2 linked regions of the Drosophila melanogaster genome follow. The protein of the gene in region 1 interacts with the protein of each later gene in a pairwise test. Each region holds a gene or a part of one and is shown on either strand. Other genes may lie near its edges.

Evidence for each region.
Region 2: the proteins of CG14864 (region 1) and CG12470 interact in a two-hybrid assay, tested with the Drosophila melanogaster proteins (2 studies listed by BioGRID).

Annotation. Positions count from the first base shown.
Region 1 is NT_033777.3:15,265,975-15,270,425, forward strand, and holds CG14864 (uncharacterized protein), read right to left. Parts: upstream 2,456-4,451; 5' UTR 2,399-2,455; coding exon 755-2,398; 3' UTR 710-754; downstream 1-709. Other genes in the region: ATPsynO (ATP synthase, oligomycin sensitivity conferring protein), read left to right, coding at 1-396, 459-614; Zip88E (Zinc/iron regulated transporter-related protein 88E), read left to right, coding at 2,789-3,037, 3,107-3,366, 3,430-3,631, 3,763-4,141, 4,211-4,221.
Region 2 is NC_004354.4:305,557-309,576, reverse strand, and holds CG12470 (uncharacterized protein), read right to left. Parts: upstream 1,894-4,020; 5' UTR 1,685-1,893; intron 1,488-1,684; 5' UTR 1,370-1,487; coding exon 782-1,369; 3' UTR 642-781; downstream 1-641.

The sequences.
Region 1 (4,451 bases):
GTGCAGGTGTTCGGTCTGGAGGGTCGCTATGCTACCGCCCTGTATTCGGCTGCCTCCAAGTTGAGCCAGTTGGATCAGGTGGAGAAGGATCTGACGGCCCTGCAGGCCACCATCCGTAGCGACAAGAAGCTGCGCGAGTACGTGACCAGCCCCATCATCAACAAGAAGGTCATGGCCACCGCTCTGAAGGAGGCATCCGAGAAGCTCCGCTTCGCCCCGGCCACCGTCAATCTGTTGGGTCTGCTGGCTGACAACGGACGTCTAAAGAAGCTGGACACCGTGATCAATGCCTACAAGACCATCATGGCCGCACATCGCGGTGAGGTCGTCTGCGAGGTGGTCACCGCCAAGCCCTTGGATGCGTCCCAGAGCAAGCAGCTGGAGGGTGCCCTTAAGGTAGCTACGCCTAGCTTCTGTCTTGTCTCACCCACTCAATTTATTGCTCATTTGCTTTGCAGTCTTTCCTGAAGGGCAACGAGTCTCTGAAGATCACTTCCCGCGTGGACCCCAGCATCATTGGTGGCCTGATCGTTTCCATTGGCGACAAGTACGTCGACATGAGCATTGCCACTAAGGTCAAGCTCTACACCGATGTCATCCAGACCGCTGCCTAGACTCTTAAGGATTTGCTCTTGATTTAGATGGTCAAACTGAAAGTTTGGTATTGGAATTCAAGCGGTAATAGCGAATAAAACACTCTTCACCCTTTGAAAACCAACAAAATTTATTCAGAGATATGCGCACTAGATTTGGTTTATGATTTAGATATATTTTTAGGATCCGGTATATCTGTGCACTGCAGCTCCGCAACCTTGTGCTGGATTGTCTGCTGCAGAAGGCTGTGCTGCTCCAGCAGATTCTCCAGCTCCTTGATGCGAGATCTCTGCAGTTCCAGAACCTTGGTGAAGTTACTCGTGGCCGGGGACTCAAGCCAGTTGATTAGAAAACTATTATGTTGCTCTTTATTATCGTTGGCGTTTTGTTGAGCATCAAAATTACTCTTCGTCTTGCTATCTAGTGTACTCGCATCCTGCCCTGGGTTGGGGCTGCAATCATTCAAAGGACTCTCCTCCAGGACCAGAACATTGGTCTCGTTCGAGGATCGACAAACTCTGTAATTGGGCTTGTCGATTTCCGGGAACACAGCTCGCTCATCATTTTCGGTCAGATCGGACTCTTGAACGCAAATCTCTGGAGGCGGCGCCATGGGACGTTGCTTCGCCGGAGAGCAGCACCCATCTTCATAGTCATTATTCCGGGTGCCGTTCATAAGCAGCACGTTGATTGCATTTGAAGTTCTTCTCTCGCCGCCGCCACAAGTAAAGTTATTCGAATTATTGGTGTATCCGCCAGATAAACCTGTCGCTGAGCTTCCAGTTTGATGGCTGAACGAGCCGGTCATCTTGGTTCGCCTAACAGGCGAAGAGCTCTGAGTCTGCAGCGTCACCGTTGAGCACTGCACTTCCTGATCCTTCAATTGCTGGGTGATGCACGTCTGGCAGCATTCGCTCTTCAGCTCCGGCTTTTTCTTCGTATTCTGCTGGTTCATCGAACTTTTAATTTTGTTGTTACCTCGTGAAGTTGGCGATACCGGGTAGTTCGGGCTACTGCGGAAATCATCTGCTACAGTTTTTATGTCCGTTGTCCTGAAAGCTGGACAAGTGAGACGTTCACAGGAACTCTGTTTTTTTGGGCTGCCTTTGGAATTATCCTTTCTTTCTTTATACTCTTTATTTATACTTTGTTGGCTGCCTGAATCCTCTTCTAGAGGGGCTACCGCTTTTTTGATCCCTTGCACTGGACAGAAACTACAGGTGCATCCATCACAGGTGCAGTTTACAGCTCCAAAGGTCGGTTTATTTACCCTTGGGCTTAATTTCATAGGTGGATTATTTTTGTTCTCTAAGTTTGTGGCCCTTGTTTGTGGATTGGGATACTTCTGTCCCATTTGGGTGTATGTATTGCCCTGGAACATGCTGTTGCAGGTGTTTCGAAAACGACAGCAACCATTCGTACATCTGTTCGCGCTGCTGAATTCCTGCCTCTCCGAGCCGAGACTCTGTTTGCTTTGGTTCTGGATCCGCTCGTTAGTCTTTTTGCTGATGGAATAGCCATGGCCAGCGTCCGATGCCGAAGAGCTCCACCTGCTCCATTCCTGCAGGCCAGCTTGAGTCCTTGCCCTGCCAGCAGCACGAGACGAGCTCTCCGATTCCGAACCTGATCCGTGGCCATCCAAATGGGAGGCGCAAACGCATCCGTGCCGGCATAGCGATTCGGGGTCGACGTCAAAACTGCTGAGGTTGGCCAAGTTCTGCCACCGGCGAGCCTCCGACATGTTGCGCGGGTAGACGCACTGCTCGCCCGGCTCCTGGCCACAGATTATACAACGACGATGCATTTTCCAACGGACAACCAGGACGGAAACGGTAAAATTTTGAATTTTAACTACAGGAGCATTTGTCGAAGTGCAAAACTATAATTGGAGAGGGTGCCTACCTTCTTTTATTGAAATTCTTAATGGTGGTGGTTGGTAAAAGAATAGTTCTAGATTTAAATGTTTAAATAAAATTAAAAAAAAAAAAAACCGTTTAAATGAGTGTGATCTGAAAGGCGCACTGCTGAAATGCCTTACTTTTCTGTGGCCCCCCCATTGTAAGGCGTTTTGGTATTTCGCACGAAAGCAGCTGCACACACTTCGCAACTGTTTAGTTTAAAAATAGTAAATGCAACGAACTTTTGTGTGTTTTACTGGCCCCCTTCTTGATGACACAGTCTGGCAGTTGATACAATGAGCTTGCCAACCGACGGTCTAAACATGGAGATCACCCCAAGCCCCACCCTGGCTGCCACGAGTCGCGGCGACTTGGAAAAAGTGCTGGCTATGCTGGTCCTCGGACTCGGGAGTCTTTTGTTCGGATTGCTGCCCGCCTTTATATCGGAACGGAATCGTCGCCGCTTCCCGCTGACCGCATCCCTGCTCCTGTGCTTCGGAGCGGGCATTCTGCTAGCCACCGCACTGGTGCACATTCTGCCCGAGGTAAGAGCTTGGACTGCGATCGTGTGTGTGGCTGCAATTTGATAACCTGCTGACTTACGCATGCAACAGGTGCGCGAACAAATGGACTCGAAATTCGCTGAGGTTGCCATGTGCGGCGGGTTCTTCATCATCTACTTTATCGACGAGTTCATACACTACTTCTTTGGCGAGGCCATTCAGCACACTCATGCCCACGATGCAGAGACTCCAGCAACCGAGCCACCAAGACGTCCCACTAATGACAATGGTTATGGCGCAGTGGACGAACGAGCGCCCCTTTTATCAGCGGAACCCAATACGTCACATGGGCATTCGCACCATCATAGCCAGTAGGTTTATTGCATTTCCCTTCCCGCAGCCAAAACTAATTGCTTTGTGCTTCGATTACGCAGCGATCATGACCACAATCACCCGGCCAGCGCATCTGGCTGTAATGATGCCAGTGTAGAGGACGCCAACGCCCGCATCTGCCACACCAGCCACACGGAACCCTGCGCCCAATCCATGACAGGCACTCTGGGTCTCTTTGTCGCCCTGTCACTGCACTCGGCCATCGAAGGACTCGCCATCGGCGTTCAGAACTCTTCCACAAAGGTCTGTGCCGCCTGCCTTGACATAGTTAGACTAGATCGGCTATAGTGCGCAATCTTAGGCAAATATTGAAGCAAAGAGATGCGAGGGCTTAGTCCAATTAGATAACCGGAATCTGCTTTGTCTCGTCGTAGGTTCTGTTTCTTCTAGGGGCCGTCGCCTGCCACAAGTTCGTGATGGGCTTTTGTCTGGGGCTCGAGTTCCGCTCGAATCCGCAGACGAGTTTTCGCGCCCAGTTCGTCGGCATTTCGGTGTTTGCCCTGGGCGCCGTCATTGGCATTGGCCTGGGCATGCTTATCGTGGACGTGCCCGCCGCTTGGTCCAGCAAAACTCTGCCTATCGTCCAAGCTCTGGCCGGAGGCACACTCTTCTACGTCACCGTCTGCGAGGTGATACCGCGCGAGAAGGCGCGCTGGCACTCGAACTCAACGCGACGCTGGGCGGGATTTGCACAGTTTGCAACTGTGCTCGCCGGCTTTGCGACCATGTGCATCATAAACTTTTATCTTTCTGGTGCGTAGCATTATGTGATTTGCATTTCCCTTTCGACATTGCTGACCTATTTTCTTCGCGCCTTTTCAGATGAGGATTAGACATCTTTTCGTTGAGAAATCGTTTCAGCGCTGTGAGAAAATGTGCCGCTTTTTAAACTTAGAACACTTAGGATAATATTATGGATTGGCAGCTGTTAATCTCTTGTGTAAGACTTGTTACTTGTGCATTTCCAACTAATCTTGTTTTAGGTACATTGTCGATCTGCCGTAGGATAAGTAAAAAGTTCAGTCTTCTCGTCTACATTTATATTTTCTCTTTCTCCAAAGTT
Region 2 (4,020 bases), on another chromosome or scaffold:
TTTTCAAATACTGAAAATCTGTTTGAAAAATAAAATTTTTCAGTTTAACATCTCATAATCTATCAACAAGTCGACTACTTTTATAAATATTCAAATATCGTGTGGCCGGCGCTTGTTTGGCACTTTATTGCAAATGCTTTGCGGTTTTCGCAATCCATGGGCCTCCAAAAATTGACCCCTTACTTGGAAGGTTCACCTTGTTTCTATTGGGTTTCTTCTTTTTTCATTTTGTAGCAAGCAATAATAATTTGAGGGATTTGTTGTGCACGTTAAGCTGGAATCCTCCGCTTCATTCTTTTGAGCCGAATATTAGCAAAATGATGCACATGCATAATTTCCATACCACTCAAATGAATGGAATTAATCGAACGCTAATCGACTTGGAATCTGTACTCTAATTGACAAAATTCTCACACCCTGTAAGTCTCTAATTTTTGATATTATATTTACGATTTGTATTTTATCCACAGTAATATTGCAATAATTTATGTCGACTATTGTTATTTAACTTCTTTTGATCGTACGCTAACCTCAACTTTCCCAGCAAAACTCTACAAAAGGATTAACTTCGACATGCAAAATAAACGCTTTGGTATATCGCTATCACCGCTATTGGTATTAGAGCTATGCAAATTTGTTTTAGTTGCTTTCAAAGAGATTATTATTTATTGATAAAGATTGTGCCAAAATATGTTAAATGTTTAGAGCAAAGCTTGTCGTCCAGTATTATCCTCGTTGTGTATGCGTTGCCCTCTTTTGTTAGAAATCATATGGGACCTATTTAAGCGAATCGCATGCATTTTGCCTTTTGGGTGTACGTTACAGCGCCATACTCCTCCACAATCTGATCAATGGCAATCTTGTTTAGATTCTCCAGATATAGACGCGTCTTTCGAGACTGGATAATATAACTAATAACGTCGTGCATATTATCGAAGAAAAGAAATCCAGCAGTTCCGCAGCTGAGGTCTAGATAGCGGAACCTATTAACATCGCAGGTGCATCCATCAAACAGGAAGTAAATAAAGTCATTATTGTTGTGATACCGGAAAACCACGTAGTTGCCCCAAGGGGCCATCACGAAAACCCGCTCGGCACACCGGAATCCGGCTCTCAGGAGCTTGCAAATGCTATCGTAGCATCCATTCTCAGAGCCCACCACCGCCATTGTTTCCGGAATACGAAGAAGAGCCGGGTAATGATTCGGTTGAGCCCGAAGGACATCGTGGGGTCCGCTAGACTCTGGACAAGCGTCAAGTGGTTGCATCTGCTTTGGTGGTTCCGGACACGGAGGACATGGTGGCGCTTCGATGGGAGCCACAACTGCGGCGGGCTTCTTGCCCTTCTTTCCTTTGCCCTTTTTACCCATGGTTAATCGAGTCTACGATCTCTGAAAGTCGCGCAACGCACAAATTAGAAATGCCTCTGCGTTTGCTTCCGATCACTTGAAAATAGTTAACGAATCAAAGTAGCATATATCCTGACGTCTGAAATACGCATTTAAAAAAAAAAAATATTAATTCTTAAGTTAACCCCAACCAAATACTCAGTAAACACTGTCCCACACATATAGAATTACGACTTCCAATTGTGTGCGTATGTCATGTGAAACCAAATGCAATTCGGAAATGGGGAAAAAATTTCAGTAATATTCGGAATATGCCGAGCTTCCAATAAGACTCACCAACTAGCTAAACACGATTTGATTTTGGTACACACACCGTTCTCTTGTATTCCTAATTTTAAGTTTGGCCAAAAAAAAAATTTTGTAAATCTGGTCGAGAGCGAAGTTAAATTTTGTACAGTTTTTTTTCCGAGATTTTTTCGTGTGCTTTGTGTGTTCACAGACAATTTTACTTCTGATGTTTTGCCATATGGCTGGTGATAGCCAAGTCCAAATACTGACAGTTTCAGCAAAGCAACGTGATCTAAAAAAAAGTAAGAAAGCCATTCTATTTAATAAACCAACCCAGAGTAGGCTACGTTTGGTGCTCGTAAACAGCTTAATGCATATATAATTGCCAGTTCTTATTTTATTCAATTATCGTTGTATCACAACTTAAGGGACAACTAAATCTACTACTTTCCTTTATCTGCTGGAAGAAGAAAAATATGGAAATATTAAAAAAAATATCTGATACGATAAAAGTACCATTGAAATACGAAAAACGCGTATTTATTAATTAAACATTATCTAAGCTTCAAATGATGGCCTTTTATGAATGGACCAGTGGAATAAATCTCAGGTTTTTGGCTAAATGATGATGACACCACCATTATAATCGCAACCATACTAACCTAATGGGTTACATTTTATGGCTCACAGCGGTATCAAACGAATACGAATCCAAAAGAAAACACTCCTTCGATTATTGCTTCATCAAAAAGAAATTCTCAGCTAATGGGGTAACCCAACCTGTCATGCCGGCAAACGTGAGTCGGCAGGTTTAGGATACCCATATGGAGGAAGATATCGCTCTCTCCCACTCTCTATATACAAATGTGTGCAATCTTCAATGGTATTATTTAATCAGTTGCTTTAATGTGGGATGATTAGATAAGTACTAGAAATAAGATTCATTTACCGCATAAGTACTTTAACCTACATACAGTTTAACCTTTATACAGTTCAAATTATACTTCTTATACCCGTTACTTGCAGACTAAAAGAGTATACTAGATTCGTTGAAAATGTATGTAACAAGTAGAAAGAAGCGTTTCCGACCATATAAAGTTTATATATTCTTGATCAGTATCAATAGCCCAGTCGATCTGGCACTGTCCGTCTGTCCGGCCGTATAACGTCGACATCTCAGGAATTATAAAAGCTGGAAGGTTTATATTAAGCATACATATTCTAGAGACAGAACCAGCGCAAGTTTGTTGAAATATTACCACGCCCACTCTAAGGCCCCCAAACCCCCCAAAACTGCCACGCCGACACATTTGAAAATTTAATTTTGTAAATCTATCGATATGTTATCTACATATATCCAACTCCAACGCACTTCCTCTAGCGGAGTAGTAACACGTATCTGTAAGCCGACAAGATCGACTGAATCGTTTTCTCCTTGTAAATTCACATGGATATGTTGCCTTATACAGATGTCCAAGTCCTTCTTAAAAAAAAAAACGGCATGTTAAAAACGTAAAAAAGTACATGCTCATAAAATTGAGCTTTTTATCATAAAATAAAGATTTTTAGCTTTAAGCCGCGAAAGCTTAGTTTGGAGTACTTAAGCTTTAAGGTGCTGAATAAGTTTGCAGAGGAGAAATTGCGCATAATTTATCTCAGAGAGCGGAGTTATTTAGCACCTCTCCGGTAGCCTTCCCTTTCTTTTTTTATGACTGAAATTAATCTTCATTCACTGCAGGAATATAACAAATGGTTTGCTGATTGTTTACACATGGGCTATCCTGCAGTTGTATCGGTCAAAATAAAATACAGCAATAAAATAGAGCAATCGAAATTTTGATAACTGTGGTACCAAAGTGCAACAACCTAAAAGTCGACGCCAACGAGTCTAGGGCAAACAAAAAATAAGAACAAGGTCCAAGGCATTGGGTCAAAAGCCAAGTAAAAAAAACAAATAGAAGGAAGGGAGAACGTTATATACAAGAAACTCGACTATCCAATACCCATTATGATAACATAAATCAATAAATAAAATTCAGAATTATGTTTTATAAGTATGGGCAAATTAGGGCGGTGCAAAATTTGTTTGGCTAGAAATTGAATTGGATAGAAATTGACAATACAAAAAACTAAATTAAATTAAAAAACTGCTTTCATACGGACAAAGGGACATGCTCAGATCTGGGCTAGTGATCCTGAGGAAGGTATGTATATGTATGTATGTATATATAAACGTCATAGGGTCTAAAATGCTACAACGAATCTAGAATACAATTTTACTCTACGTGTAAATAAAAAGCGGGAATATCAACGGGAAAAATCTCTGACAAAACATACTGTAACCACTTTTACCTGGGAAGCCTACACTCCCCCAATTCTGTGAA